2 linked regions of the Oryctolagus cuniculus genome follow. The protein of the gene in region 1 binds, or shares a complex with, the protein of each later gene. Links are inferred from orthologs where the notes say so. Each region holds a gene or a part of one and is shown in the gene's direction. Other genes may lie near its edges.

Region 1 (15,790 bases):
ACAGTATGTTCTAACAACTTACTCAGTATAACAAAAGTTAATTATAAGTTCTCTAAGAAAGGTTTTATAGGTCAACAGAAATAAAGACTCAAACAAAAATTTGCAACAACTCTGAATAAAGTATAAGTTTTAAACCATGTTCGCTATCATTAGCGATTTTCTTTTCCATTATCTATTATGTACAACTACATTTAGAAGACATATCTAAGTATGTTAACCCTGGATCCTCCTGGTCTCTTTCAGGAGTGATATCGACACATTATAACTTCTGAGATGTTTGAAATGGAAATGCTGAGTAGAATCTTCAGTTTTAATTGACTTAACTTTAAATTATCTACAGAAATTATTTGGGTCCAGAGATAAACTCTATCCTGCTCACTATTCAGATTGTTTTTGTTAGCAAGAAATCATTTGTAAAAAATTTTTGTCTTTGAAATATAATAGTATAATTTATAAAAGTACAATTTCTTTAGCATTTAAAAGTATTTCCAAAATCTGTGGGCCTCCAAGTTTATATGATGATAATCAGTACAAGCATATATAAATGAATGTGTATGTACTTGAGAACATTAAACTTACTTGATAAATAAAATACAAAAACAAATTTTTTTATTTCTCTTTTCTCCTAAAAAACAATGATGTAGACATCAATTCTGATTAGCTGGTTGAAAAACAGATTTTAATTTAGTAGCAATTTTAAGGAACAACTAACTATGGGGCAACTTAGTAATCTAGAGAATTCAACAAGTTGTCCACTCTTTTTTTTTTAAAGACTTATTTATTTATTTAAAAGTCAGAATTAGAGAGAGACAGAGACAGAGACAGAGATCTTCCTTCTGCTGGTTCACTCCCCAGATAGCTGTGAAGGCCATAGCTGGGCCAGGAAGAAGCCAGGAGCCAGAAGCTTCACCTAGTTCTCCCACGAGGGTGCAGGGACTGAAGCAGTTGGGCCATTCTCCACTGCTTTCCCAGGTTCATTACCAGGGAGCTGGATCAGAAGTGGAGCATCCAGGACTCAAACCAGTGCCCATGTGAGATGCTGACACTGCAGATGGCAGCTTAACCTGCTATGCCACAGCACTGGTCCCAAGTTGTTCGTTCTTATGCTAAAAACTATTTCTGGGGGCAAGCATTTAGCCTAGTGGTCAACATGTTAGTTAAGATATCTGTGTTCTGGGACTTGTGCTGTGGCTTAGCAGGTAAAGCCACTGCTTGTGATGCTGGCAATCCCATATGGGCAAGAGTTCACGTCTGAGCTGTTCCACTTCTGTTCCAGCTCCCTGCTACAGGCCTGGGAAAAGCAGCAGAAGAGAGCCCAAGTCTTTGGGTCCCTGAACCCCCGTGGGAGATCCGGGTGAAGCTCCTGGTTCAGTCCTGGCCTTTGTGGAATGAATCAATGAATGGAAGATCTCTCTCTGTCTCTTCCTAGCTCTCCATAACTCTTTCAAATAAATAAATAAGTGAATAAGTATATTTTTAAAAGATCCCTGTCTTTTATATCTGAATCACTGGGTATGATACCTTGGGTCTAGACTGCAGCTTCCTCTAGTGATAGTCCTAATTACTGAGTTTTTGCCTTCCACAAAGGAGACTCGGATTGAGTTCTCAGCCTGGTCTAGTCCCAGCCTGGTCCAGTCCTGGCCATTGTGATCAGAGATAGGAATTTTCTTTTTCTCTGCCTCTCAAATATTTTTTTAATTTTGATTTTCTGTAGTGCTAAAAATATATTAAACTTAATTCTATGTATGTAATATAATATGAGAAGGTTTTATGACAAGAGTCTAGAAGATAATGTGTACAAACACATCAAAGCACTAAACAGAATTCCCTTTTGTTTAGTGATTTTTCACTATCAACACATTTACATAAAAATTTTATAATAAATACTCATTGGGCCATATATTGTTGGATCCTCTAAACTTCATGTAACAGAACACTAAACCCAAATCTTTGCAATTTAAAGGAAATTCAGTATCTAGAAGGCCCAAACGTTATTTTTGTCATATAAAGTGAAGACTGACTTCATGCATACTTTAAGTTGCTGACTTGTCTACACCTACATTTCTTATAAAGACTGGGGATTACTGTTTGTTTTTCTGACTGTAAACCTTCAGAAATTTTCTTAACACGGTATCAATAAGCTATCAGGCCATAGTTTTACTAATGTTTCTCAAGCATAGGTTGACAAATACTCTTTACTATGACTGTGTCTTCAATTAGGAAGTGTCAAAGTTAATGTGTTAAAGTACTTTGCTGCTATATAATGACAAAATGCTGTTGCTTAGTAATCAGTTTCTGAATTTGTAACATGGGGAACATAATGAAAGTTCACAGGAGCACCCTAAGGACTGATTGGAATTGATGGGTAGTATTAAATGAAACTATGACTATAGTTATGACTATTTATAAAATAGAAATTTAGGAATGAATGTGAAAGAGATCAGAATTTACCACTCACAAATCTATTTGTGTTCCTAGTATACCACACTCACACAGCCACCCCTTCCTTTTTAAAAACTGTGAATCAACAGTATCCTAAAAGTTAAGACTTTAAGGAGGACAAATTTAATCCAGTACTTTTTCTCTCAACAAACATTTCTATTACATATGAAAGCCATGGCAAAGACTGAGATAAGATTTTTGAAACATTCATCTACTAAGAAACTTCCAAGTAATTTTCCTAAAGCTGAAGAAACCATACCAAAAATATTTAAAATCACTACAGATTTAGAACTAGTACTGGGAAGTTCTGTGTGAGAATCTTGGAGTAATTTATCCAAAATATAATAAAAACCCCAAAGCTCCTAAGTATTGCGCATTACCGCACAATAATTAAATCATGATGTTAGATTTGCATGATATATAGTAGAAAATATTTTAAAAGTCAAAATCAAAACATATAACGTCTTTCAATTCAACCATATAAGATTACCTGCTATATGAGGTAGGAAATTTACTTTTGAGAAGAAAGTTTAAGTTTGGAGAATTTGCATTTAGTGTTTTCGAAAAAGTAATGAATTAATTTAATAAAGAGTATAAATCATATTCAAATAATGGAATTATATATGGCTAGCAATAAAAATTCAGCAATGATAGCCACATGGACTTTATGGCTGTCCAAAATGAATAAACTCTATATAGAAGACAACCTTAAAATATAGCATTAAGTGGAAAATTTTGAAAAATATTTTTCTAACAAAATGCAGAAATATCCTACTTAACATATATCTTCCCACCTAACAGTATCCATTTAGTTAATATAAAATTCATTTAGCTAAAACACCAGAATAAAGATATGACAAATACACTTACAGACAATTAAGATATTCTTTCACATTAACCTATAACAACCACCCTTGTTTTCAAATACCTAGCACAATGCCTGATAGACATCATAGACTTTTAATGAATAGCTAAATACAATCTGTTTTGCACATACATTCAAAATCCAGACAAGTTTACAAAGGTACATAAGTTGGACAAAGGCTTTCTGGCTGACTTCATGGGGTCCCACTGATGACTAGGAGTAAATCTTCATATCCATAGAAAACTGGAAAGTTGATAACTGTCTGGGTAAGGATCAAAAAAACAAAGTCAGGGAAATGTGTTACCTAAATAACTGTTGCTTTATAGAGATGGTAATATTAGTCTAATCATTCCAATAACCCATTGCACTAGTAACTCAATGAAATGAAATTTCAGTGTACCCTAAACAATTACAAGTATATTTTTAAATGGATTTTCTAAATCATTGCTTATAGAAAATAACTCACTTTTTTATAAATTATATACTGTACAAGGATTACAAAGGAACATGTTTTTACTTCTTACTATGAGTGTTATGTTGTTAACAGTATTTAACTTGGTTGTTAATTAGAAAAAGAGAAAGCTACAGCAGAGATTAAAAAAAAATAAAAGGAAATTCTCATGAAAAGAATTTCATAATAGTGAAAATTATAGCAAGAAGGAAAAGAAAGGAATGCCACAAACAGAAATAAAGAAATTCAAACACATTAAACTCCAAAACTAGTATGTTTTATGACAAACAACCAGTAAGGCCTACTGTGTACTAGGCTTTGTCCTTAACTAGTTCATGTGGCAAGATTCACAAGTAAATATTTAAAATGCAACTTGAATTCTATTTCTTAATATATGTATATATACATACACACACACACAGACACACACACACACACACACACATATATATATATATCCTTAACACAAGACTAGTAAGTAAATTGAAGCACAGGGAGAAACATAAGCATTAGAGAAAGTTAAAATAATTTTTAAAATAGAACCATTAATAGTGAGTGAAATTATTACTTTTTAAAAAATCAGTGAAAATTACTGAATTATAGGCAGGCTTATGGCTTCAAAGCTATTTACCTTAATATTCTTCCACATAAAGCCCTAAAATGCTTGGGCCGGTGCCGTGGCTCAATAGGCTAATCCTCCACCTTGCGGCGCCGGCACACCGGGTTCTAGTCCCGGTCGGGGCGCCAGATTCTGTCCCGGTTGCCCCTTTTCCAGGCCAGCTCTCTGCTGCGGCCAGGGAGTGCAGTGGAGGATGGCCCAAGTCCTTGGTCCCTGCACCCCATGGGAAACCAGGAGAAGCACATGGCTCCTGCCATCGGATAAGCGCGGTGCGCCGGCTGTGGCGGCCACTGGAGGGTGAACCAAAGGCAAAGGAAGACCTTTCTCTCTGTCTCTCTCTCTCACTGTCCACTCTGCCTGTCAAAAAAAAAAAAAAAAGCCCTAAAATGCTATACACAGAAATCATACATGCTAGTTTTAAGCCTGACAAAGTAAATTGAGGTAGTGCAGCATAGTGTCAAGAGACCTGAATCCTCCAGACCTCCTCTGCCTACTTGCAGGCCTTGCAACCTTGGGGAAGTTCTTCAAGCTCCCTGAACTTCAGCAGTATGCAACATGAAGAGGTGGATAGGGGTAGGCATTTGGCCCAGCAGCTAAGATTTCACTTCGGACACCTGCATCCAGTACTGATGTGCATGGATTCCAGTCCTGGCTCCACTTCAGATTCTAGCTTCCTGCTAATGCACACTCTGGGAAGCAGCCAATGATGTCTCAAGAAGTAGGGTCCTGGCCACCCACATGGGAGCCTAGATTGAAGTCCAGGCTCCTGGCATTGTTTTGGCCCAGTCCTGCCATTATAGGAATCTGGGAAGTAAATCAGTGCATGCAAGATGTCCCCCCTCCGCCTCTCTGCCTTTCAAATATAAATAAATAAATAAATATTTAAAAAGAGCTGGGTCCATCTGACTTCTAAGATATCACCTAGTTGAAAAATCACCACACCAAAAATCCAGGTTTTAGTGCTTAAAAAATTAGCTGTAATAAAAAATATAATAAAAAGTTTCCAGCATAAATCATTATTCAATTTGGATAAAGTCTAGAATCTTCCAACAATCATAAAGGGTCATCTGGGGGAGCGGAGAAGGATAAGAAATGTTTTCAAAGAAAAACAGAAACAAAATAAGTAAAGGTATTTGAGTAAATTTTTATTCAGCTGCCTGCTGGGCAACTACCACTTCAATTATCTATACAATTCACTTACTTAAAATGTATTCTTCACTAAGTTCTACTTTCTATCTCTTATGTTAGGGTTAGAGGATAAGAAATCCTAGGTGGCCTGGAATAGTAGTATTGATGTTGGGAGAAAAATTTGAGCTGGCACAAATTTCCATTTAAGCATACCAATTATATCTCACAGTAAGGGAAGAAACTGTTCAAATTTCTAACAGAAAGAGGGAAATAAAGCCATAGTATTTATTGCTACACAGCTTTTTTCCTCCTGTGTGTAAATGTCTACTTTTGCACACAGTTTGTAATTAAAATTTTCCAGAACACGTTTCCACATATGCAATGCTTTTCTGTTATTAAAATGAGTATGTTATATCTTTCCTTTACCATGAGGAAAGTAAAAAAATTAAAAGTATTATCATGCCCTTATAATATTTGTCAAATATCTTTCTAGATTTATATTTCTTCAATCCTTTCTAGCTGATCAAATTGCTGTTTTCATATTGCCAGTCTGATCGCAAAATTGCTGCTTTACAGAGGAATATTTTTTGCTGACATAAATTATGGGATCAGAGATACCAATGCAGTTACAAAAAAAAAAAAAAAAGAGGGAGGGAGAGAAAGAGAGAGAAAAAAACGAGAGGTGGGGGAGAGGGAGAGAGAGAATGAATGTGTGCATCCATCTTCAAGGAAAAGATCAAGAAATATATGTATGAAACAAAATGCTAGTTTCCAATGTAAGCTCTGGTAAAAAGCCTACACCAGATAAAAATACTTTCCAGCATTTCTGAAATAAAATACAGCACTGAATGAAATTTGTTCACTAAGAACATACCATGTAAAAATGAACAGTGATTTTTATCAAAATTGCTAATTTAAAAACCTAAATGTGGATTTACCTTTCAGTTTATCTGAACTTCATGATTTCTTTGACTTATACAAACATTTTAAAAATCTGTCTCCTTTTACATATAGTGAGCAATTTGGTTCAGTACCCTGAGAGAAGAAAAACTCATCTCAATTTACAACACTAAAATAAATAATTCAGTTAAAACTAAAAGTGGTACCAATCCAGCAAACTATTGATGGAGAGGTCTGGCCTTCCATGAAGCCAGGCAACATGAAGTTTTCAATGAGGATTACTTGTTCAGACAAGTTACAAAGATTATAAAAATACTCAGATTAATTACAAAATAGTTCACATTCTCATCTTATGGAAAATAAATATCAGGAACATATGTGGGAAGAGACAATACCAGTGGCATTTAAACTTCAAGCATTCTGAGCTCCTAACTTTATACACTGATACATCAAACACACATTAACCAAAAAAGCCATAATACAAGTCAAAATCCAACCTAAGGCCTCTATGAACTAAAAATCTGAAATTTTCTATGCAAGTCAGACAAGATCAAAAAATGGAAAATTCAAACCCTAAAGCCAAAACCAATCAAGTCTTCCAATCCTGAAGTCAATATCCAAATCACATACAGGACCAAAAAGGGGGGAAACACTCAGGTCTACAAATGGATAAGCAGTTCCAATACAATTCAGATCCCGACATTTTCCCACTCAGAAACAAATGCAGTGGAGCTTTTCCTAGGAAAAGAGAAAAAAGCTCTCCCAATGAATTTTGTAAGTGACATCTAGAAAGTGTGCCTCTTTCTGTCTCTTTCCCTGGCGCCTCATTGGAGGAAGGAGGGGGTTGTTTTTGTATTCTCCCCCAGTGGAGCAAGACACAATCAGATGTTAGCTGGAGGAGAGAAACCACTTTTGACAACAGCAAATAAAAATAAAAGTGCCCTTCCTCCCCTGACAGGATGGACACCCCACCTCACACGCCCCTCCCCACTCCAACCCCTCCTTCACTCACCACCCCCCCAGCACCACCCCCTCCTCACCCCGGAGCGCCACTGCGTCTGTGGTTTGGTGCTACTGTTGCCCCGGAGTGAAAGTCAGAGCCAGAGGAAGGCAGTGAAGCCCCCACAGACACACTTACCTTTCCTGCCCCCCACTTTTGAGTGCCTTCCCTGGAGCTGTGGAGGATGACACAAAGGGTAATAAAGGGGGGGAGTGGAGGAGGAGGAGGCGAAGGAGGAGGAGGAGAGCTGGGGAAGTGGCTGCTCCTGGGTGTAGTGAGATGTCTCCAGCCAGGGCCAAGCAGCAGCAGCAGCAGCAGCAACAGCAGCAGCAACAGCAGCAACAGCAGCAGCAGCAGCAGCAGCAGCAGCAGTAGCAGCAGAGAAGGGTCTGTGTTGCTAAGAGGCTTTTGGTCTCTTTCTCTCCTCCTCTCACGGCCAAAGAGGAGGAGGGTGGAGGGGGCTCGAGAGGGAGGCGAGTGGAGGGGTGAGGGGGTAGGAGTCGTGGATGGGGATTTTCGAAGAAGAAGAAACTCCTTCTCCTTCTCTCTCTGGCTCAATCCCCCTCTCAGGGCTCGGGGCTGGAGGGTGGGGGAAGGAACTCAGTCGCCTTCCCCCAACCCCCCTCAATTCAAGGTTGAAGTGGGGTAAAATTAGTGTCCTGTCCCTTTAAAAATAGAAATAAAAGGTGCCCCCCCTCTGCCACTGCCTCTCTCTTCATCATCAGCTGCTGCTGCTGCTGGGGTCTCTCTGCTTGGGGGGGAGGGGGGGTTCGGGTAGAAGAGACTGGAGGCACTCACTGCGCATGTCACTCTCTGACGGGAGGCTGGTTGGTTGAAGGCAGGAGGAGGGGGAGGGGAGGAAATGAGATGTTTTCCCAGAAGGCTCCGAGGCGCTCACGACCCGGAAGACATTGTAGCAGGGGGTAGAGGGGCGGGGGCGGGAAGGAGGAGGAAGTCGCTTCTCTTTAACACCCCTAGCTCCCTCCTCCCTCCTAAGAGAAAGTGGAGGAACGGAAGTGGGCGTGGACGGAGGCCCAAGGAGGTCACGTGCTTGCTCTGGGGGCGTGCGGGCTAGGAGAGGCTGTGCGTGCGCGGGGCATGTCGGGAGTAATTGTTTTACCGTTGGCAGCTGCAGGTGGAGCCCAGTAGAGAACGCAGCGAGGCGGTCTTGGGAAGCGGTTCTTACAGTCGCGGGATCCCCGCTTTGTCCTGGTAAAGACACGCTTTCTTGCGCGAGGTAATATGGGGGTAGGCTGTCCTGACAAGGACGGTCAGGGGAGCGGGTGGCCAAAGGCAAACCGAAAAGGGGCGGATAGAAGGTTGGGGAGACCGAGAATGTGGGAAGTGGGAAGGCTTTTCTAGGCCGGGCAGGCCAGGACCAGTCGGGATCGTTCTCTCTCGTGACCTCACCATAAGCCTGTCTTTAAATCTCTGACTAGTAGCGGGAGTCCTGAGGACGCTTGGGCCTGCAGCGAGGTGCTGGGTGAGATGCACGCTGTCCGGGTTCGAGAGAAATGGGATCTCTGCCGCCTCGGCAGGTGACTGATGACTTTCACAGAGCAGGGAACCTAACCAGGGAGAGAGACAACCCCGGTGTGTGCATTTTGACTTGACCAGAGCATTGCATTTAAGTGGCTGTGCCCGCTTCTTTGCTGAGCTCGAAGCCTTCCCTGGGCGGCTTGCAGGTAGGAGCGGGTAGCGGACCCTGGAGTAGAATTTCTCTCCTTGTCTTCTGTTGTTGCCGCAACGAAAAGCCAGTGCTTGCTCTCAGAGGGATATGCAGTTGTGTAGTTGCTGATACTGAGTTTTATGGTTGATAGAGAAGGGTCATAGTCAAATTTTCTCTCCCAATACCGTGGATGATAGATTTTTTTAAAAGGTTGTTTATCTTACCTTTCTGTGGATACGTGCTTTATTTTAAGCTTTTGGTTTATCAGTTAAACGCTACCTGTTTTTGTTGGAAATAATGTTTATACCTTATAAGGGTTCAGCATTTTTTAAGAAAGGATTTGTAAAACTTTCATAGTGAAACTGCAATTTCTTTTTCACTTTCGTTTTATATTATCTTACTTTTAAAAAATCCCAATCTGCGTTTTCTTCTTTATAAAGATACTTTGAGGAATCATCACTTATGTATTTTTTTAAAACTACGAATTGAAAATTCCTCCCGTTTATTGTGTTGGTATTATTGATTGTGTGGTGTGACCTTTTTAGGGTACACTATGGAAGTCACAGATTACATACTGTAAAAGTTTGGGCCGTGGATCCTATTTTTGCATTATTGCTGAGTGCTTACTGCTCTCTATTTGTACAGTCATGTCAGATAGATTCAAAACTAGATTCCTTTGTACTGAAACTGAATATTTACCACAGTAGAAAAAGTACAAGGCAATTAATTTGCCTTAGAATTTTTAAATCTTTTTATGAAAAAATACTAAATATGCAGAAAAGTGTCACAAACATATGCATAGTATAATGTGTAACTAAAGTGAACTCTGTAATCACTACTAAAGTCAAGAACTAGAATATAAGTGGCACCAGAGGAGCACCTGTCATCCATTCATTCCTGACATCCCCCTTTGCACCTCAGAGGGTGACATTATCTTGATTTCTGTGGTAATAATTTTCCATGTTTCCTCCTAGTATTTTTTTAACCACATATGTCAGCATTCCAAACAATATACACTAGTTTTGCTTTTCTTTTTACTTTGTGAAAATTGACTTATATATCATTTTGTATGCTTTTTTCTCTGAGATTTAACTGTTAATGTTTATTGAACTTAACCTTGTTCAGATATTTTCATTGCTGTATGGTAATGTTTATAGTGTAACAGTACAATCTTTTTAGGAATAAGTGGAGTTAACTAGTCTAATTATTGGTGGACATTTGTATTGTGTTTCATTCTTAGCAGTTATGCACAGTGCCACAATGAATGTCCTTATACTTGTAGTATTCTTATCCTCATAACATGCATTTACATATATTTATCTTCAACATCACTTTGTTTAGTCAAACTTCTCTATCACTGGATATAGCAGTTTATATCCTCACAATAGTATATGATAGATCCCTTTATTTCTGCCATCCAACTAACAGTTGGATGTAGATTCTGAGGAATGTAGCTTTATGTTGTTTTAGTTTATACTGTTCTGGTTACTAATGATATTGAGCACTTTCTCAAAAACATTTTAGTTATTTAGGTGTCCCTTTTTTTGGAATTATCTCATTGTCTTTTTAGGTCTTTCCCAGTTTTATATGGGGTTTTCTGTTTTACTTAAAGATTTGTAGCAATATGGCAAATATCTTTTCTGTGCTTGGAGTATTACTCTCTTCCTAGATCATAGCTTTGTCTCCTTTTAGTCCATTATTGGTTTATATTCTGCTGATGTTGTTATTTGAATTTTATGTGTAGCCATGACTTCAGAAAGCAAGTTCTGCAGTTACCATACCCATTATAGTGCCAGTGGCTGCATGTGGATTTTGAGCATTTGAAATTTGGCTAGTGTGACAGTTTAGGTTGTGATGTTTGTAAATGTAAAATAAATACCAGATTTCAAAGACTTAATATGACAACATTTAAAATATCTGTCCTTTTCATTTTGATTGCAAGTTGAGATTATAATTAATTTAACCTTGTTTTTTGAAATATAGTTGTTACAAAATGTCAAATTATTTTATGTATTTCTGTTGGCCAGCCCTATTTTCTGCCATCAGTGTTAGTTCTTAATATATTTACCCCCCTCTTTGTTCTTAATTCCTTCATTTATTTTGGGATCTTTCTGTTTTAATGTGAGTATACTCTTTAGAAATATCTAATTTTAAATATCCATCAGGGGCTAGCACTGTAGCTTAGTGGGTGAGGTTGCCACCTGTGGTGCTGGCATACCTTGTGGGCAGCAGTTGGAGTCCAGGCTGCTCCACTTCCATTCCAGCTCTCTGCTATGGCCTGGGAAAGCCCCTGACCCATATGGGAGACCTGGAAGAGGCTCTTGCCTCTCTGTAACTCTGCCTTTCAAATAAATAAGTAAATCTTAAAATATATATATGTATGTGTATATATATCCATTAGACATTCCATTCTGTTAGCCAATTCTCTTAAGTTTTTGCTTATCTTACAATGTCCTTGTTTTGCCTTAAATCTTTAGGAGTATATTGGGGATATTAAATTATACATTTGTGGTTATTTATTTTTTACTACCTTGAAGATAACACTCTCCCTATTTTGGTTTTTATTCTTTATTTTGAGAAGTCAGCTGTCAGGTTCTTGCTACTTTGAAGGGAATCTGTCTTTTAGCATATTTTGTTTGTCAAAGTTTTTTTTTTTTTTTTTTAAGATTTATTTATTTGAAAGTCAGGGTTACAGAAAAGGAGAGGCAGAGGCAGAGAGAGAAAGGTCTTCCATCCACTGGTTCACTCCCCAAATGGCCGCAACTGCCAGAGCTGGGCTGATCCGGTGCCAGGAGCCAAGAACTTCTGGGACTCTCACGTGGCTGCAGGAGCTCAGGATCTTGGGCCATCTTCCCCTGCTTTCCCAGGCTATGGTAGAGAGCTGGATCAGAAGTGGAGCAGCCGGGACTCGAACTGGCACCCATATGGGATGCTGGCACCACAGGCAGCGGCTTTACCTGCTATGCCACAGCGCCAGACCCCATAATTTTTCTTCTATTCCTCTAAGATGTTTTTGTGTTGGTATTCTTTTTCCTGCTTTGAGTTCACTGGGATTCTTAACTCATTCATCAGTATTTTTTAAAAATATTGGCCATGTCCATCTGTACTGTTTCTAGTTACCTGCTGAAAATGCCAGCTTTTATTGGCTTAGTGTTTGTAGTTCATTTATTGTCTATGCCAGATAACTGTAGTTTCTAAATTTTTGATAAATCTGTTTGTGCCGGCTCATTTTTGTGTCTATGTGTGTGTGTGTGCGTATGTGTGTGCATGCACACATATTGGTCTTCCAAGTATTGTATTAGAAAAGAATATATAGGGGCCAGCGCCTGCAGTGCCAGCATCCCATATGGATAGCGGTTTGAGTCCCGTCTGCTCCACTTCTTATCCAGCTCTCTGCTATGGCCCAAGTCCTTGGGCTCCTGCACCAGCATGGGAGACCGTGAAGAAGCTCCTGGCTCCTGGCTTCATATCAGGTCAGCTTGGGCTGTTGCGGTCAGTTGGAGAGTGACCCAGCAGGTGAAAATCCTCTCTCTCTCTGTATGAGTGTGTGTGTGTGTGTACCTCTTTCAAAGAAATAAATACGTCTTTTTCAAAAAAGATTATATAAGTCTATATGAGTCATAGTATAATAGTATCTTTTTTAAAAAATGCTTTATTTTTTTATTGGAAAGAGTTACACGGAGAGAGGAAGAAAAACAGAGAAAGATCTTCCATCCTTTGGTTCATTCCCCAATTGGCTATAATGGCTGGAGCTGCGCCAATCCAAAGCCAGGAGCCAGAGCTTCTTCCAGGTTTCCCACATGGGTGCAGGGGCCCAAGTCCTTGGGCCAACTTCTGCTATTTTCCCAGGCCATAGCAGAGAGCTGGATCAGAAGTAGAGCAGTTGGGACTTAACTGGCGCCCATATGGGATGCCGGCACTGCAGGCGGCAACTTTACCTGTTAAGCCACAGCACAGGCCCCAATAGTATCTTTCCTAAGAAGGTGCACTTTTCTCAGAAAGATACTTAGGGATGCTACCAATCTCAGGTCACTTGCTGGATTTTTAATATTTGGGATTCCTTCTGTTAACACACATAACAGTAAACAGATTTGAATTCATATTTCTACTTTACTTCCAATCTTCGTTTTGATGATGTTGCCCTTGAAGTCTCAACTTAAATTAGGCTGTGTTTTATCACAGTCTCCAACTGTGTTGTGAGGCCCTGTGTTTTGACTTTTTAAAATATCCTAGCAGAGTTTGTAGCAGCTCAGCCTTATTTCTCAGCCTTTTCTTTTGGGTAGACAAATGCTCTCGGAGCAGAAGTGAGAATGTAGTTTATTTCTGGTTTACTTTCTCCTAGATTTTGGCATGTAATTTCACACTGCCTTATTTCTTTCATCCTCACTTTGAAGGTTTTTGTTGTTGTTGTTGTCATCCTTAGCAGGAGTCTTGGTCCAGTTTGACAGTGCAATAAATGGCATACTCAACTCTCTTTCCTTTTTTTTTTCCTTAGATTTGGTTTTCAGATCTTTATGCTTCTAATCAAAATTTTATGATTAAACTTAACTCATATTTGTTTTATTTTTCTAAAATCATGTTAGCCTATTTAGTATAAGAAGTGAAGTTAATGAAAAGCTTACAGTTTCAAGGGTGGAAGAATCTAATATATTATTTAAGTTTCAAATACATCTGCATGTCTTAATAATAAAAATAGCTCTTTGTCACAGATTGAGTTCTTGAAAGTATTTCCTGTTGCATTTGCTCCATGGTGGACAAAATGACTGAGCCTTTATTCCCTTACTTTGCTTATTCCCATGAAGGGTGTGATGTTAGACAAAGTGGATTCCATGTCCTTCATTTCTCCCCACCACCACTATCACACACCACAAAGCAAACACATTTAGAAATTTTTGGCTGATTCCTTTGATATTAAAGTTTCAAATCTCTAAAAAGCATCTTAGATAGCTGCCTCTTTTTGTTTCAATTTCAGGCATTGTCAAATTACTACTGTGGACAGTGCACATTTAGATTATTTCCACTTACACTCCTTCCTCTTCTCACTGATGTGATAGTTTTTTGTAGATAACTTTTCTGTGTCTGTATAGTTTTAACATGCCATTAGTTGGGTCCTAGCTTGTCTGCTGGTTTTCAGCTTATCCTCTCCATGTATTCGGAAGTTCAAGTAATTTCTATTTAACCACCATTATGAAATTTCTCCTGGAACCTTTTGATCTGCTCCAGTTTAAGCCCTTTGCCTGATATGGTTGCCACTTGTACATCCTCCTATTGTGCATCCTGTTTCCTATATTTTGTGTAATCCTTTGTCTTCATTTTGATTCTTCAGTCTTCAATGGATTTCTGAGAAGCTTATGTTTTGACATGTTATATTTGTTTAAGTGTCTATTTCAAAGCAGCTGTAAGTTAGGCTGGATGTAGAATTATAAGTTGGAAGATTTTTGGGGGGATTATGAAAGAATTCTTAGCATCTGGTCAATCTGAAACCACTTTTATTTCAAATACTTTACATACTTTTATCTCCCCCTGGAAGCTTTTACATTCTGTTTATCTGAAGTTTATGGAATCTGCTTTTCTGTATTAAAGTTTTGAAATGTCACAGTAATATGATTTAATTCTATTTACCAAGCGTTTTATGAGTCCTTCAGTCTAGCAACTTACCTGTCAGCTCTGAGAAAGTTTCTGGTTTTTTTTTTTTTCTTTAATTTTCTCACTTCTGTGTATTTGATTTTGGAACTCTATTTACATGCTGTATTTCCTGGTCCTATTTCTTATCTGCCGTTTTCTTTATACTTTGTGGAATTTTACTTTACTTTTTCAGACCTTTGAGACTTTCACATTTGCTATTGTGTTTTTAATTTCTGAAAGCCATGTTTTTGGTGTGTTTTATTTTTGACGACATTCTGGTTTTTAATATCAATAGGAATTTAATTAAAGTTTTTAGAATTTTGTTTTGAAGTTTATTTCTCCATGCCTTCTCTATTTCCTCAAAGTTACTCTTTCTGTTAGTATGTTTTGGGTTTTTTATTTGTTTGTTTTTAAACTTTGAAGGCTTCTTCAGCTGAGTTTTGATCCCTGATTGTGTTCAAACTGATGTTAGGGGTGTTAGGAAGCTGTTTCAGGAGGCCAGTGCTGTGGTGCAGTGGGTTAAAGCCCTGGCCTGAAGTGCTGGCATCCCATATGGGCGCTGGTTCTAGTCCCGGCCACTCCTCTTCTCATCCAGCTCTCTACTATGGCCTGGGAAAGCAGTAGAAGATGGCCCAAGTCCTTGGGCCCTTTTACCAGTGTGGGAGACACAGAAGAAGCTCCTGGCTCCTGGCTTCGGATCGGTGCAGCTCCGGCCGTTGCGGCCATCTGGGGAGTGAACCATTGGATGGAAGACCTCTCTCTCTCTGTCTCTACCTCTCTCTATAACTCTTTCAGATAAATGAAATAAATCTTAAAGAAAAAATAAGAAATACCTAATTTTTTTTTTTAAAAAAAGAAAGCTGTTTCAGGACTTTGTGAACTAGCTGTAGATGCTTCTCATCATGGAACTATTTAACTGCAGCATTTTTTTTAAAAAAAAAAGATTTATTTATTTGAACATCAGAATTACACAGAGAGAGAAGGGAGAGGCAGAGAGAGGTCTTTCACCTGCTGGTTCATTCCCCCAATTGACCACAATGGCCAGAGCTGGGCTGGTCCAAAGTCAGGAGCCAGGAGCTTCTTCTGAGTCT
Region 2 (15,930 bases), about 46 Mb from region 1:
TTACTAGTTTATCTTCATTTCCACTTTATTAATGCTATTATTACTAGTTTTCAAGTAATGTTCATTCCTTGATTTGTGTAGCTTTAAAATTACACAATAGGAGCTTTATTAAAAATTTTAAGCAGATATAAAAATTGTATCTCGATGTTAGTTTCACACTTTTTTTTGAAACTTAAAGGTGGGTATGGTGGGAAGAATTACTATGTTCCTAAAGTTGTATTTATGAAATGCATGCAAATAAATTTAAAAATTGTACATATTTCTGGGGTACTATGTGATGATTTGTCACATTTATATATTGTGTAATGTCTAATATATTGATTATTTCAAGCACTTAACATTTCCTTATAGTGAAAATCCTATTTTCTAAGTTTTTAAAAATAGAGAACTATACAGTGCATTATCTATAGTCACCCTACTGTGTAACTGAATCCCACAATTTCTTATTCCTATGTAACTACAACTTAGTACCACTCAAGCAACATTTCCCCTCAATCCTTCTGCACTATTCTCTTTCTATCCTCTGATAACCACCAGCATATTTTGAACTTCTCTGAGGTCACCTGTTTTAAACCTCATATAGAGTGAGATCATGTGATATTTGTCTTTCTGTGCTTAGCTTACATCACTTAGCATTATGTCCTCCAGCCCCATCCATGTTGCTGCAGCTGACAAAATTTCCTCCTTTGTATGGATGAGTAATATTTCATTGTATATGTATATGTCCCACATTTTCTTTATCCATGCATTAGTGGATGAGCGCTTAGGTTGTTTGCATTTCTTGGCTATTGTGAATAGTGTTACAAGAAACTGGGATATATGCATGTCTCTTCAAGTGATTTTATTCCCCTTGGATATATACCCTATAGGGGATTGCTGGATCATAGCATAGTTCTATTTTTAGGTCCTCCACAATGTACTAGTTTACATTTCAACCAATCATGCATAAAGATTTCTCCACATCCTTGCCAACACTTGTTGTCTTTTGTCTTTTTTTTTTTATAATAGCCAATCTAACTGAAGTTGGGTGATATCTAATTGTGTTTTGAGTTTCATTTCCCTGGTTATTAGTGACATTGAACATTTTTCACATGTGTGTTGTCCATTCATATGTCTTCCTTTGAGAAGAGTCTCATTAGATATACTGCCCATTTTTAAATTAATTTTTTCACTACTGAGTTGTTGTTTGAGTTCCTTATATATTTTAGACACTAAACCTTTGTCAGATGTATATCTTGCAAGTATATTCTGTGGTTGTCTCTTGATTCTGTAAACTGTTTCCTTTGCTTTGCAAAAGCTCTCTAGTTTGTTAAAATCATATTTGACTATTTTTCTTTTATTTTCTGCTTTTGGAGTCTGATCTGGAAAATCCTTTCTTATTCCAATGTTCTTAAGTGTTTCCCTATTTTTTACTTATATTCCCAGAGTTTCAGTTCTCACATTTAGTTCTTTCATCCATTTTTGTTGATTTTTTGTACATAGGTAGCTATAAGGGTCTAGTTTCATTCTTCTGAATGTGGATATCCAATTTTTGCCAGCACCACTTATTTAAAAAGACTAACCTTTTCCCAATGTATGTTCTTAACAACTTTTTCAAAGACCACTTGGCTGTAGATATATGTGTTTATTTTTAACATGTATATTCTGTCCCCGTGGTTTATGGATATGTTTTTATGCTAACACCATGCTGTTTTGATTACTGTAGCTTTGTACTATATTTTAAAGTCTGGTATGTAATACCTCCTGCTTTGTTATCTTTTCTCAAGATTGCTTTGGCTACTCAGAGTCTTTTTTTGTTGTTCCATTTTAGAATTTTTTTTTCTAGTTCTGTGGAAAATGTCATGGGAATTTTGATAGGGATTGCATTTAATCTGTAAATTGCTTGGGATAGTATGCATATTTATTTTTTATTTTTTTAGAAGATTTATTTGTTTATTTGAAAGTCAGAGTTTCACAGAGAGAGGAGAGGCAGAGAGAGAGGTCTTCCATCTGCTGGTTCACTCCCTAATTGGCCGAAATGACCAGAGCTGTGCCAATCTGAAGTCAGGAGCCAGGAGTTTCCTCTGGGTCTATCCACAGAGGCACAGGGGCCCAAGGACTTGGGCCATCTTCTACTGCTTTCCCAGGCCATAGCAGGGAGCTGGATCGGAAGTGGAGCAGATGGGACTTGAACCGACACCCATATGGGATGCTGGCACTGCAGGCAGCAGCTTGTCCCATTATGCCACAGCACCGGCCCCAGTATGCATATTTTAATAATACTGATTATTTCAATTCATGAACATGGAATGTCTTCCCATTTCTTTGTTTCCTTTTCAACTTCTTTCATCTATGATTTACAATTTACACTGTGGAGATCTTTCACTTCCTTGGCTAAATTTGGTTCCAGGTATCTTATTATATATTTATTTTCAGCTACTGGAAATGGACTTGCTTTCTTGATTTCTTTTTCATATGTTTCACTATTAGTGTATAACAACAATAATAATAATAATAAATGTTTGTTGACTTCATGTGCTGCAACATTGTTGAATTTCTTGGTTTTGTTTTTAAAGATTTATTTTTTTGGCCGGCGCCGCGGCTCACTAGGCTAATCCTCCGCCTAGCGGCGCCGGCACACCGGGTTCTAGTCCCGGTTGGGGCGCCGGATTCTGTCCCGGTTGCCCCTCTTCCAGGCCAGCTCTCTGCTGTGGCCAGGGAGTGCAGTGGAAGATGGTCCAGGTGCTTGGGCCCTGCACCCCATGGGAGACCAGGAAAAGCACCTGGCTCCTGGCTCCTGCCATCGGATCAGCGCGGTGCGCCGGCCGCAGCGCGCCGGCCACGGCGGCCATTGGAGGGTGAACCAACGGCAAAGGAAGACCTTTCTCTCTGTCTCTCTCTCTCACTGTCCACTCTGCCTGTCAAAAAAAAAAAAAAGATTTATTTTTTTGAAAGAAAGAGTTACAGATAGAGAGGGAGAGACAGCAAGATAGAGATCTCCCATCCATTGATTTACTCATCAAAAGTCCTCAATGGTCAGGGCTGGGCCAGGCCAAAGCTGGGAGCCAGGAACTCCATCTGGATCTCCCACATGAGTATAGAGGCCCAAGCACTTATGCTGTCCTCTGCTGCCTTTTCAGGCACATTAACAGGGAGCTGGATTGGAAGTGGGGCAGCTGGGACTTAAACAGGTGCCTGTATGTGATGCCAGAGTCCCAGCCAGTGACCTAAACAATTGTTCCACCATGCCGACCCCTGAATTTGCTTTTTTTTAAGTTTTAACAGCTTTTTGAAGGAATCTTTGGGATTTTATACATGTACACTCATGTAACCTGAAAACCGTGACACTATGACCTCTTCCTAATTGGGATCCTTTTATTTCTTGCTCTTGTCTAATTGCTCCAGTTAGGATTTTCTATACTGTGGTCAACAAAAGTGGTAAAAGTATGTATCCTTGTCTTGTTCCAGATCTTATTTACCATTTCCCCATTCAGTATGATGTTAGTTGTTGGCTTGAGATTTTATATATATATATAAATATACACACATACACATATTACTTCTGTTGAGTTACATTCCTTTTATGCCTAATTTGATCAGTTTTATCATGAAATGATGTTGAATTTTATCAAATGATTTTTCTGTGTCTACAGATATAATTATTTGCCCATTTCTGTCTCACATTTAGTGATTTGCATATGTCGAGCCATCCTTGCATACCTTGGATAAATCTTACATAATCGTGGTGAAAGGTCTTTTTAGTGTGCTGTTGGATTAAATTTGCTGGTATTTTATTAAGGATTTTTTGGCATCCATAGTCATCACAGAAATTGGCCTGTAACTTTCCATTTCTGTCGTGTCCTTGTCTGATTGCCTTGTCAAAGCAATACTGGTCTCATAGAACGAATTTTGGAGAACTCACTCCTCTTCTTTTCTTCTTCTTCTTCTTCTTTTTTTTTTTTTTTTTTTGGACAGGCAGAGTTAGACAGTGAGAGAGAGAGAGACAGAGAGAAAGGTCTTCCTTTTCTGTTGGTTCACCCCTCAAAGGCCGCTACAGCCAGTGCGCTGGGCCGATCCGAAGCCAGGAGCCAGGTGCTTCCCCCTGGTCTCCCAGGTGCAGGGCCCAAGCACTTGGGCCATCCTCCACTGCACTCCCGGGCCACAGCAGAGAGCTGGACTGGAAGAGGAGCAACCAGGACAGAATCCTGCACCCCAACTGGGACTAGAACCTGGGGTGCCAGCGCCGCAGGTGGACGATTAGCCAAGTGAGCTGTGGCACTGGCCTCCTCTTCTATTTTTTGAATAATTTGGGAAGGATTGGTTTTCATCTTCTTTAAAATTGTGGCAGAATTCATAACTATGACTGTAGTCTTAATAATTTTTGAATATTTTAAAATTTACTATATATGAGTAAAGATAAACATCATTTGTTTCTTGAATATAGCCATTGCCAATATTCCTGCTGAACTATGTTGTTTTTACTTTTTATTTGTTGAACTCTTTATTTTAGTGTAGCATTAAGCCTTTGACTATAATGTAAATTAAAAATATGCTATCTTAAAAATAATAAATAAAATAGAATGTTATGTAATGTTTGGCATAATTCAGCAGTGAAGCTAACTGGCACTGGGCTTTTCTTTGACAGGAGGCTTTTATTCCTGATTTAATCGCAGTACACATACTTGATCTTTTTAGGGGTTCTATTTCATTATTGTGCAATCTTGGTAAGGTTCATGTGTCCAAGAGCTTGCCTGTGTCTTCTAGGTTATTGAATTCATTGCCATATAGTTGTTCATAGTAATCTCTAATAGTTATTTTCCTTTTTTTAAAGAATTATTCATCAATTTGAAAGAGTGACAGAAAGGAAGACACACACACACAGAAAGAGAGAGAGAGAGAGAGAGAGAGAGAGAGAGACTCTTCTATCCACTGGCTTACTCTCAAAATGACTGAAACAACTGGGGGTAGGCCAGGCTGCAGCTTAGAACCAGGAAATCCATCTGGGTCTCCCACTTGGATGGCAGGGACTCAAGCACTAGGGCCATTTTCTAATGCTTTCCCAGGCACATTAGTGGGGAACTGGATTGGAAGCAGAGCAACTGAATTTCAAACTGATGCTCCAACATGAGATGCTGGTGTCACAGGTGGCACCTTAATCCAATACTTTGTATTTCTGTTTTTTTTTTTTTTTCAGTTAAAATGTCTGTTTTTATCTCTACTTCTGTGTATTTGAATCTTTTTTCTTTTGTTCTTGGTTAGTCTATTTAAGGATTTATCAATTTTGTTTATCTTTTCAAAGAATGAGCTCCTTATTTTTTTAAGATTTCTTTATTTATTTGAAAGGCAGAGTTACAGAGAGAGAGGAGGAGAGACAGAGAAAGAGGGAGAGATCTTCCACCTGCTAGTCCACTCCCCAAATGGATGAAGTACCCAGGGCTGGGCCAGAGAACTGCATTGGGGTGTCCCACATGGGTGGCAGAGGCTCAAACACTTGGGACCATCTTTCACTACCTTCTGAGGGAGGTAGATTGGAAGTATAGCAGCCAGGACAGGAACTGGTGCTTGTAAGTGATGCCAGCATCATAGGCAACAGCTTAACCTGCTGAACCACAGTGTCAGCCCCAGAGCCAGCTCTTTGTTCCATTGAATTTTGTATTCATATTTTAATCTCTGTCACTTATTTGTGCCGAGTTCCATTATTTTCCTTTTAACAATTTTGTATTTGTTTTGTTCTTGTTTTTTGAGTTGCTTGAGATGCACTGATTGTTTATTTGAGATCTTTCTGGCTTTTTTTTTTTTAAATCAGGCATTGATTGACATAAACTCCCCTCTTAGTCCTGCTTTTGCCATATTCTGTAGGTTTTGGTATGTTGTTTCTATTTTTGTTCAAAAAATTTTTTAAGATTTATTGTATTTATTTGAAAGGCAGAGTTACAGAAAGAGCGGAGAGAGAATTTTCCATCTGCTGTTTCACTCCCCAAATGGCCACAATGGCCAGAGGTGGGCCAGATCGAAGCCAGAAGAAAAAGCATATTCAAAGAGATAATGACAGGGGCTGGCGCTGTGGCATAGTTGGTAAAGCCGCCGCCTGCAGTGCCAGTATCCTATATGGGCGCCAGTTCAAGTCCTGGCTGCTCCACTTCCGATCCAGCTCCCTGCTATGGCCTGGGAAAGCAGTAGAAGATGGCCCAAGTCCTTGGGCCTCTGCATGCTCTTGGCTCCTGGCTTCAGATCGGATCAGCCTAGTTCTGGCTGTTGTGGCCATTTGGGGAGTGAACCAGCAGATGGAAGACCTCTATCTCTCTCTCTCTCTCTCTCTCTGCCTCTCCTTCTCTCTCTATGTAACTCTGACTTTCAAATAAATAATTCTTAAAAAAAAAAAAAAACAACGAAATAATGACAAAATTTCCCAAACCTAGAGAAAGTCAGAAGTATCCAAATACAAGAATATCAAAAATCACCAGACTCAACTCAACCAATTCTACCCCAAGATATTATAACCAAGCTCCCCAAGGCCAAAAGAGAGGATTCTCAAAACTGCAAGATAAATAAGTAACACAGGAAGCCACCCCAATCCTCCTGATTGCAGGAGTTTTTAACAAGTCAAATTGATATCATTCTTCATTCTGTAGCCAAAGAGATCTTCCTAAAAGTTGAGTCTCATCATTTACTTCTCTGCCTAAAATCCCTCCCTGATTCCCTACAGCCTGCCTAAAGTCCAACACTCTCAGCATAGCACTCTTTAACACTTCCCTTTTTTTTTTTTTTTTTTTTTCTTGAACCCTCATTCCTAAGCCTCAGCATCCAGGTTCCTTCCCCTGGGGAACTATCCTCAGCCTGTCCAAGCAGTATAGCATTTCCTCTTACATCAACAGCTATTCATTAACTGCTTATTAAGCATATGCTGGGCACTGTTATATGCTGGAATTGGAGCTGTGGAATGTTTTCACTCCTCAGAGCATCTGGAGAGGGAGACTAACACTTTGTTTAGACAATTATTTAGCTATAAGTTTGTTGAATGCTATATGGTGTTGAGAATGTGTAACCATTTTTAGGAATGGCAAGGACCTACTTTCCTTATGAAAAGACACTGAGGGGCCAGTGCTGTGGTGTGGCAGATGGAGCCACTGACTGCAGTGCTGGCATCCCATATGGGTGCTGGTTCCAGTCCTGGCTGCTCCACTTACAATCCAGCTCTCTGCTATGGCCTGGGAATGCAGTGGAAGATGGCCCAAGTCCTTGGGTCCCTGCACCCACGTGGGAGACCTGGAAGAAGCTCTTAGCTCCTGGCTTTGGATCGGATGAGCTTCCGAGTAAACCAGCGGATGGAAGACCTCTTTTTCTCTTGCCTCTTCCTTTTCAAATAATAAATAAATAAATCTTTTTTTTTTTTTTTTTTTAAGACACAAAGATTTGATGGGCCATCCCACTGTGGCTTTCAGAATTCTCCCTTAGGCAACTTCATTTGAATAGCCAAGAAGTTATAGGAGACCACGATCCTCAAAAGGTCCTTCTAACCATTACGGTTATGAGTCTGGTCCAGTCTGTAGCCAGACTGATATCCACAATGTAAATCTATGTGTAGCAGGCACTGTACACGTCATCACATACTTTTAGCAAAACCCAGTTGCTATTATCCCTACTTTTTTTTTTTTTTTTTTTTTTTTTTGGTCGACAGGCAGAGTGGACAGTGAGAGGAAGAGACAGAGAAAAAGGTCTTCCTTTGCCATTGGTTCACCCTCCAATGGCCGATGTGGCCGGCGCACCGCGCTGATCCAAAGCCAGGAGCCAGGTGCTTCTCCTGGTCTCCCATGTGGGTGCAGGGTCCATGAACTTGTGCCATCCTCCACTGCACTCTCGGGCCACAGCAGAGAGCTGGCCTGGAAGAGGGGCAACCTGGACAGAATCAGGCGCCCTAACCGGGACTAGAACCTGGTGTGCCGGCGCCGCAGGTGGAGGATTAGCCTATTGAGCCACGGCGCCAGCCTATTATCCCTACTTTCACATTAGCAACGTGAAGTTCAAATTGAAAGGCGCCATCACTCTTCCAAGGTCTCCCTATTTGGAAATAGTTGAGTCAGCAGTTCCAACCCAGGAGTTTCAGGGCTCCAAGTCTTCTTTTCTCTGAGCATGTGTCTACTTCTGTATCTGTTTCCAGCATAGCGAAAGCCTTATGCTAATGGCAGCATTGTGCTGAGTCCTTCCACCTTCGCCAACACACACCAGCATTTCCTCAGGTTAGGAGTTCGAGGCAGGTCCAGACCTGGTTTCAGGTTTGCAAGTACTGAACCTCATTTTACACTGGACGCCACACGTTTCCCACACCCGCGTTAGGGGTAAACTCTGACGTTGAGACTACGGGCCAGCACAGTCCCCTTCCCCGGTGCCTGAGCGGAGTTGGGGGGGGGGGGGGTCCACTTTCCCGGCGTTCAAGGTCTCTACACTTGGCACCTTCAGGCGGGAAAGCGAAGCCCCTCGCGGCACACTGCAAGCCACAGCGCCCCCCGTGCCCTCCCGCCCCCTTTTCTTCCACTCATCCCCGGGGCATCCTCTCCCCAGCTCGGCTGGAAGAGCCAGCGACCCGAAATGCCCCTGCCAACATCAGGCGGACAAGGCCGCCGCCGGCTCCGACCGCGGGAGACCAGGGCGCCAGCGACGCTCCGCGGTCGCGCTGACGTCACGCCGGCGCGTCCCGTTTCCGGCGGAGCGGAGGTGTTCCCGTGGTGACGCAGTGCTGCCCGGGAGCTTCGCTGCGGTCTCCTCCGAGCTTCCCGCCAGGATGCCTCACTTGGAAAACATGGTGCTTTGTCGCGAGTCCCAGGTGGCCACATTGCAGTCCCTGTTTGGAGAGGTACGGTGGTCAGACTGTCTTCTTTCTTCCAAATGCTGCAGGGGGGGACATGTCCGTGGCTTTGAGACTGCTTGTTTATTTAGGTAATAATTTCGTGTCCGGGTTGAGGGGCACCTGCCCATGGTTTCCGCTGAGGTTGGGGGCTGTGTGGCTGCCAGGGGCTACCGCGGACCCCCACCCGGAGTAACTTCTAGTGGGCGCCGGGGCGCGGCGAGGGCCGGCTCTCCTCTCGCACACCCGGCGCCGTGCAGATGTCGGGAGCGCAGAGCCGCCGCCGGAAGTTGCCGGTGTGCTCTCAGCCCTAGCGGCTGGTGTGGGGTTCGGCTGTAACGGGCTCGCGCCTCGCGGGAGGTGTGGTGGCTGCGGCAGGTGTAGCGGGTCGGCGGCGTGCCCACGCTCCGGCAGCCTGCTCTCCTGGACGCGTCTGCGGGTTCAGATCGGCACCTCCAGGGAAGCCGTCGTCCTCTGCGTGGAGGAGCTCGGCGAAGGAGTCCCTTCTGCGCGTAAGAAGGAGCGCGCATCAGTTCAAAACTGAAATTATGTGATCTTCTCGGGGCCTTTGGGGTGCCTTTTGCTCCAGACTCATTGATTAGGTTTCGATCTTTATAAAAAGAATGAGCCGGGGCCCGGTAAAGGCTCCCCCTGCGAGGTTGGCATCCCATGTGGGCTCCGGTTCGAGTCCCGGCAGCTTCTCTTCCGACCCGGCTCTCTGCTATGGCCTGGAAATGCAGCAGAAGATAGCCCAAGCCGTGGAGCCCCTGCACCTGCGTGGGAGACCCGGAAGAAGCTCCTGGTTTCTCTCTGGCCTTTGCGGCCATCTAGGGAGTGAACCAGCGGATGGAAAATATTTCTCTCCCTCTTCGCTCCCCATCTTTGTGTAACACTTTCAAATAAATGAATAAATCTTAAAAAAAAAAAGTAAGTGACAGTTTAGAATTAGCCTCATTTCCTGATCATCTGGTTTGCCATTTTTTTTTCTCAAGATTTATTTATATGTGTTTGAAAGGTAGAGTTACAGAAAGAGAGAGAGGTGTTCCATCTGCTGGTTCACTTCCCAAATGACCAGGAGCTTCATCTGGGTCTCCCATGTAGATGGCAGAGACTCAAGCACTCAGGCCATCTTCTGATGCTTTCCCAGGCTTGTTAGTAGGGAGCTGGATTGAAAGTGGAGCAGCCTGACGGCCACCCCTATGGGATGCTGGCCCCCTATCTGGTTTGCTTTTTTCAGTATTTTCATCCAACTAGAAAAGAAGTAGCCTGGGCAGTATTAGTGGAAGTACCACTCTCCATTTAAAGGGACATGCTAGGCGGGATACACAGCAGACTCATAGAATGACAAATGCCCTAAACAGCACTCTGGCCTCAGAATCAGTTCTTAAGGCATTCAGATCTGGCTAAAAAACCTATGAGAGTTTCTCAGGCATGGAAAGCAAAGGCACTGTGGCAAAAAAAAAAAAAATGACCTAAATGAAAGATCTCTGTGAGTGAGATCCCAGTGGAAAGAAAGGGCCATCAAAGAAGGAGGTACCTTTCTCTGAAGGGAGGAGAGAACTTCCACTTTGATTATGGTCCTGTCTAAATATTGACAGAGTTGGCAAACTCAAGAGGCTTCCATAGCCTTGGCAGCTCATGACAAGAGCCTCGGGTGATTACTGACGCCATAAATAAGAGTGTCAATTGTTAAATCAACAACAGGAGTCACTGTGCACCTACTCCCCATGTGGGATCTCTGTCCTTAATGTGTTGTACTATGAGAATTAATGGTAAAACTAGTCTTCCAACAGTACTTTATAGTTTGTCTGTGTGGGTATAAAATGTTGAAATCTTTACTTAGTACAGAGCTGGTCACCTGTATATAAAGATAATTAAAAATGAATCATAATGAAGAATGGGATGGGAGAGAGAGCAGGAGATGGGATGGTTTGCAGGTGGGAGGGTGGTTATGGGGGAAGAACTGCTATAATCCAAAAGTTCTTTTGAATTTTACATTTATGAAATAAAAGTTTTCTATTAAAAAAAGGGACATGCTAGGGAAGTAAGAAGTCAGCTACTATATTTTCAGTGAATTTTCAGGTTATAGTGTTGAAATTACAGTTATCCAGATTATCACGGAAACATGTTCTGTGGATTTCTTCACTGGAACTGATAAACCCAGGTCATTCCTACTAGAAGTGCCTCTTTTAGAAAAGAATATTGGCAAACAGAGATGAGCAGTGCTGCCTTAGTGTGGGCTACAGAATGGAGTCTTTCACTCTTACTGCAAATCATGTTTAATATTCATGTCACTTTTCTGCAAGGTGTGCATATGGGAAATACAAAGAACTATAGCAAAGAACTATAAAAAATGGCTTCATGTTTCCAAGAAGATTCATTTATTCATTCAAGAGGAAATAGTTACTGAACATCTTTTCTGTTTCAGGCACTGTGCTAGATACTAGCTTATTAGAATTTGTGTTAGGGAAGTTTACAAAAGTTAAATAACAGTCCAAGAGTGTAATATCATCCTAGGTAACAATTGAAAAGATGTTATAGGATGGTGATTGCTTTAGGCACCAAATAATAGCAGCATTCCAGAAAAGGAAGGGTTCAGTGTAACTTGGCAAAAAAATAAATAAATAAATAAAAACTCCAGAAGCCTGCTATTTCGCTTCTCTTTAAAGGTGTAATGTGTGCAGTGTTTTGGATAGCAGAGATCCCCAGTATCACGCATGTAATGAAAAATGTTTGAGCCAGTTAATTCTAAGATTGTTACATACAAAGTTTAAAAAAAGGATTCACATACTAAAATATCCACTTGGTAAATTGTTAGTTCATTTTTAGCAGTGGAGCTGCTTTTGCCACAGGTGTGCCATTCCAAAAGCTTTCTCCTGTATTCATCTGAGCTCCTGATTTGCCTTGTAAAAGGAAGTGTTTAAGTGAGAGACTAGAATGTAATGCATTTGTATGATGCTGATGCTGAGATAGAAGATGGTGTACAGACTTGGCTTTCTTATGGGAATGACATCAGCCAGTTTTCTTGTTTTTTTTAATGTATGTTGCCCCACTCAGACTATAAACTCCCAAGTAGTAAACCATCTTTTACTGATACTTGTATTCTTTTTAGTGATTGTGCTTTAGAGCAGTTAGTAGGTATCTGATGAGTTTTCTTTGGACTCATTAAGCAGTAGTATTGACAAGACCAACAAAGGGTGTTCGAACCAATTTTACTCTTCTTGAGGGTGCTGACTTACTGTGCTGCAGGAGGATCTTGTGACTATTTCTTTTTAAATCTATGTATATGGATTTCATTAATATTTCATTTGATGAGATGTATGCATTTTTTGCCAGAGTCAATGAGTATATATAATTCAAAGTATTCTACAAATTTTCTTAAAAATAAGGACTGTTAGAATTACTTCTAGCCCCCTTGATTCTATATGCTTAGTTTCAAAGCAGTAAAATGAACGGTGAAGTTGCAGTCTGCAAGGGGATTAAATCCTTTAAAGAGGATTAGTATAAAAATGGAGTATGGGCAAAATTATCCTTGGAAAACTCTTTACAGTAAGTTGAAAATACAGTGTCCTATATATTAAAAATGCAGGAGTTTGTATATGTAACTGTATGCAGTAATAAAAACTGTAAATACGTACAATATATGCCAGATACAACTTTATAGACATTTTAATTCCGTAACAGAAAATACTTGTAAGAGTTGAATTCACATAAGTTCAAAATCTAACAGTCCACTGCATGCTCATTATTAATGTTTTTTTTTCTTTTTTAAAGATTTTCTTTATTTGAGAAGTCGAGTTACAGAGGGAGAGACAGAAAGATCTTTCCTCTGCTGGTTCACTCCCCAAATGGCCGTACCGTCTGGAGCTGAGACATCTGAAGTTAGGAGCCAGGAGCTTCCCCCAGGTCCCTGGTGCAGCTGCAGGGGCCCAAGCACTTGGGCCATTCTCTACTGCTTTCCCAGGCCATAGCAGGGAGCTGGACTGGAAGAGGAGCTGCCGGGACTCGAACGGGCACTCATATGAGACTCTGGCACCACAGGTGGAGGCTTAGCCCACCACACCACTGTGCTGACCCCACTCACTGTTAACGTTACTTGGATTGAGTATTTCACCTTGCCATATAGAACTTTATCACAAGTTGAGGAATAGTTTATCAACTTCATGATATTTATCTTTTTTCCCCCCAGAGACATCATTTCAGCTTTCCATCCATTTTTATTTATGGACATACTGCCAGTGGGAAGACCTATGTAACACAAACTTTGTTGAAAACTTTAGAGGTAAGAATAATCCCAAACTCAGTGCTAATTGATTTTTTAATCACAGACCCCTAGAAACGGTTCTTAACTTTTGTTTGAATCCCTTCACTGACTGTAAACTTTGAAAAGTGTTATTATTAGATCATTCGAATCTTGATGTTAAAATTTATTTTTTAAATTGGGTCAAATTTCCCTTTCTCTTTCATTTGCTGATTGATAATATTTGGAGGAAAACAGATGAGAAATTGTTTTTAAAATATTACAATTTGTTTCTTTTTCACTGTTTATAATATTAATACTGATAATTTGTACAAATACAAAGCTAAACATATTACTTTACCTTATTTATCTTCCTGTATTACCTGTCTGTGATTGATGTCACCAATGACAGAGCTGTCCAAAAAATCTTTAACTCTTTCTTCATCCTTACTAATCCAGTAAACCAAACCAAGAAACATGTTTTGTTAATCTACACCCTCAAAATACTGACTCCATCTACTAGTAACCATAACTGTTGCTCCCAATTCAGTTTCATTACCATTGTTTCTTCCATGTATTTTTGCATATCTCCTCGTTCCAATCCTGTCTTCACCCAACAGCTAGCTCATGCAAATCTTAAGCTCTTTAGGACAATGTTCAAGTGATTTGCCTGATACGTAAGACCTTTCATGAGCTGAATTCAGTTGATCTCCCATCATGTCATGATTGAGGGTTTGGAATGTCGAGTCTGGCAGAGTTGTGTTCCTCTCTTGGATTCGCCACTTAGTGCTTTCCCCATCTGCAAAATAGGGATCGTAGTGACGACATGTAGGATTGTTAGGAGAACTGAATGTTAGTAATGAGATAAAGGTTAGTGGCTAACATATTCTAAGCCAGGAATGGGCAGAGTTTTTGCTAAGGGCAAGTTAGTAAATATTGAGGACTTGGGGGCAGCATGGTTTTTGTCTGGATTTCTTCACACTGCCATTGTATAAAAGTAGTGGTATCACCTGAATGGATGTGGCTGTGTTTCAGAGCAGTGTGTATACAAATAGGGGTGGCCAGCCCGCAGGGTTCAGTGTGCTGTCCCAGTCTTACTGGAGCCCTGAGGCTGCATGGTTAGTGCAGCTCCCTGAAATACAGTCCTGGCTCTCTCACTTTCAAGGCTTAGCACGTGGTGCTCCCTCTGTTTTGGGTGATCCTTTACTCACTCTTCCACTACTGCCATATTGCTTGGCAAATACTTATTTTGTCACATTTTCTTCTACTAATATTCTAGGAAGCCCTTCCTGCCTCATCTGTTAAATGCCCATCTGTTTTGCAACCTTAGTACTCTGTTACAATGTTTAGCCCTCCCAGCTGTAACTTTGTGTTATGTTTCCCTGGCTTCAGACTGGGTTTCTTGATTATCCCCAGACCAGATAATAGTGTGTAACACATACCAGCTTGTGGATTTCAGCCTTTGATCATGAAGACCAGCTGTGCATTTTGAAAACTTGGGTGCCTGCTCTCTACAGCAAACTTTAGAATCTGAGAGGACAAGGTCCTGACCCAAGCCCTTACATTTGAGAACTCCTTTGTATTAGGCAGCCAAACAAATACATATTGAGGGTGGGCATTTGACACAGTGGTTAAGATGCCTGTGAGTTCCTTGGTTCTAGTCTGGGCTCTGCTTCTGATTCCAGTTTCCTGCCACTGTACATCTTGGCAGATAGCAAGTGATCATTCAAGCACTTGGGTCCCTGCTACCCAAATGGGAAACCTGGATTGAGTTCCAAGCTCTGAGATTCAGCCTAGCTCAGCTCCAGTTGTGGACAGTTGAGAGGGGAAAAAAAAAAAAAAAGCCATACTGAATAAAAGCCTGAAAATCCAATAAGGAGGTTTTGTATTTGTATTAGTTAACTTTTCATTGTCACAACGAAACACATGAATCAAGCCACTTAAGAGAGAACACTTAAGAAGGAAGAAAGGTTTGTTTTGTTTTGTTTTGTTTTGTTTTTTAGCTAACAGTTTTGAGGCTAAAAGTCCATTCGGCATAATGCAGGCTTTGGTGAAGGCTCCGTGGTGATGATGGAGCTTGAGGGGGGGAAACAGTGAGAGAGGCTGGACTCTAATTCAGGCTTTTATACCAGTCTTTCACAAGAACTACCTGAAGGTATGCCCTGAGTGACCTAGACCCTCCCAGGAGGCCCTGCCCCCTGAAGGTTCTACCTTCACCCCCAATATTACTACCCTGGATCCAAGCTGCAACACATGGTCCCTTAGGAGACATTCAGTGTCCAGACTAATATCCAGACCTTAGCAGTATTTAAGGGCTATAGTCCATGTTTTCACCCATTGTAATTTTTGGTGCTATTTAATCAGTGAGGTGTTAATTTTTATGACTTCTGGTATAGGTGTACAAACAGGCACTTAGAATATGCTGTCATTGAAGGTTACAGATAGTAAAAATGGAATAAGCCAGATATTTAGGAGATGTTGTAGACTCCTGAGCTTAAAGGAATGGGGGTATAGAGGGTTTGCAAACACTGGTAAAACTGCCCAGGTAAATATGATATGGCCTTAGTTATGCTGTAGCTCTGAGAGAGAAAGAAAATCCTTGTAATTGAGTAAGATTTGTGAAATATCACTACAAATAGTTACTGCTGTATAGGTTTCGTTATTTGTGCCAGATATCACAAGATATCTCCTTTGATCAGGGCTATTTTGTGATTTCATTTTGATAACAGACTGTATTTGTTTGTTTCCTTACTATTTCTGGAGTTAACTCATTAAAATTATTTTAAATTTATTTATTTTCATTTTACTTGAAAAGCCAAAAAGACACAGATAACAGAGACAGAGAAATCATCCATCCACTGGTTGACTC

Evidence for each region.
Region 2: the proteins of ORC4 (region 1) and ORC5 are in contact, whole or in part, in a cryo-EM structure (PDB 7JPO), measured with the Homo sapiens proteins. The link is inferred for Oryctolagus cuniculus from reciprocal best matches to the Homo sapiens genes ORC4 and ORC5. Residues at the interface, in NP_001177808.1 of Homo sapiens: Ser18, Gln21, Arg22, Arg25, Glu26, Cys29, Arg30, Gln31, Arg69, Thr74, Asn100, Leu102, Leu103, Gln104, Ile105, Ile109, Glu113, Arg116, Asp162, Arg277, Met281, Met284, Leu285, Asn288, Met311, Asp312, Ser313, Lys314, Asn316, Ile317; in NP_002544.1 of Homo sapiens: Ile17, Ser20, Leu21, Phe22, Gly23, Glu24, His26, His27, Phe28, Ser29, Phe30, Pro31, Tyr36, Gly37, His38, Thr39, Thr98, Phe99, Asn100, Val103, Arg104, Arg131, Glu134, Asn136, Pro139, Gly140, Arg143, Gln145, Glu146, Leu147.

What each region holds. Positions count from the first base shown.
Region 1 is NC_091434.1:94,203,755-94,219,544, forward strand, and holds the start of ORC4 (origin recognition complex subunit 4), read left to right. Parts: upstream 1-7,589; coding exon 7,590-7,792; intron 7,793-8,203; exon of another isoform or gene 8,204-8,307; intron 8,308-8,318; exon of another isoform or gene 8,319-8,534; coding exon 8,535-8,617; exon of another isoform or gene 8,618-8,642; intron 8,643-8,856; exon of another isoform or gene 8,857-8,943; intron 8,944-15,790. UniProt on the Homo sapiens protein: Component of the origin recognition complex (ORC) that binds origins of replication. DNA-binding is ATP-dependent. The specific DNA sequences that define origins of replication have not been identified yet.
Region 2 is NC_091434.1:140,225,797-140,241,726, forward strand, and holds the start of ORC5 (origin recognition complex subunit 5), read left to right. Parts: upstream 1-8,648; 5' UTR 8,649-8,758; coding exon 8,759-8,830; intron 8,831-13,010; coding exon 13,011-13,103; intron 13,104-15,930. UniProt on the Homo sapiens protein: Component of the origin recognition complex (ORC) that binds origins of replication. DNA-binding is ATP-dependent. The specific DNA sequences that define origins of replication have not been identified yet.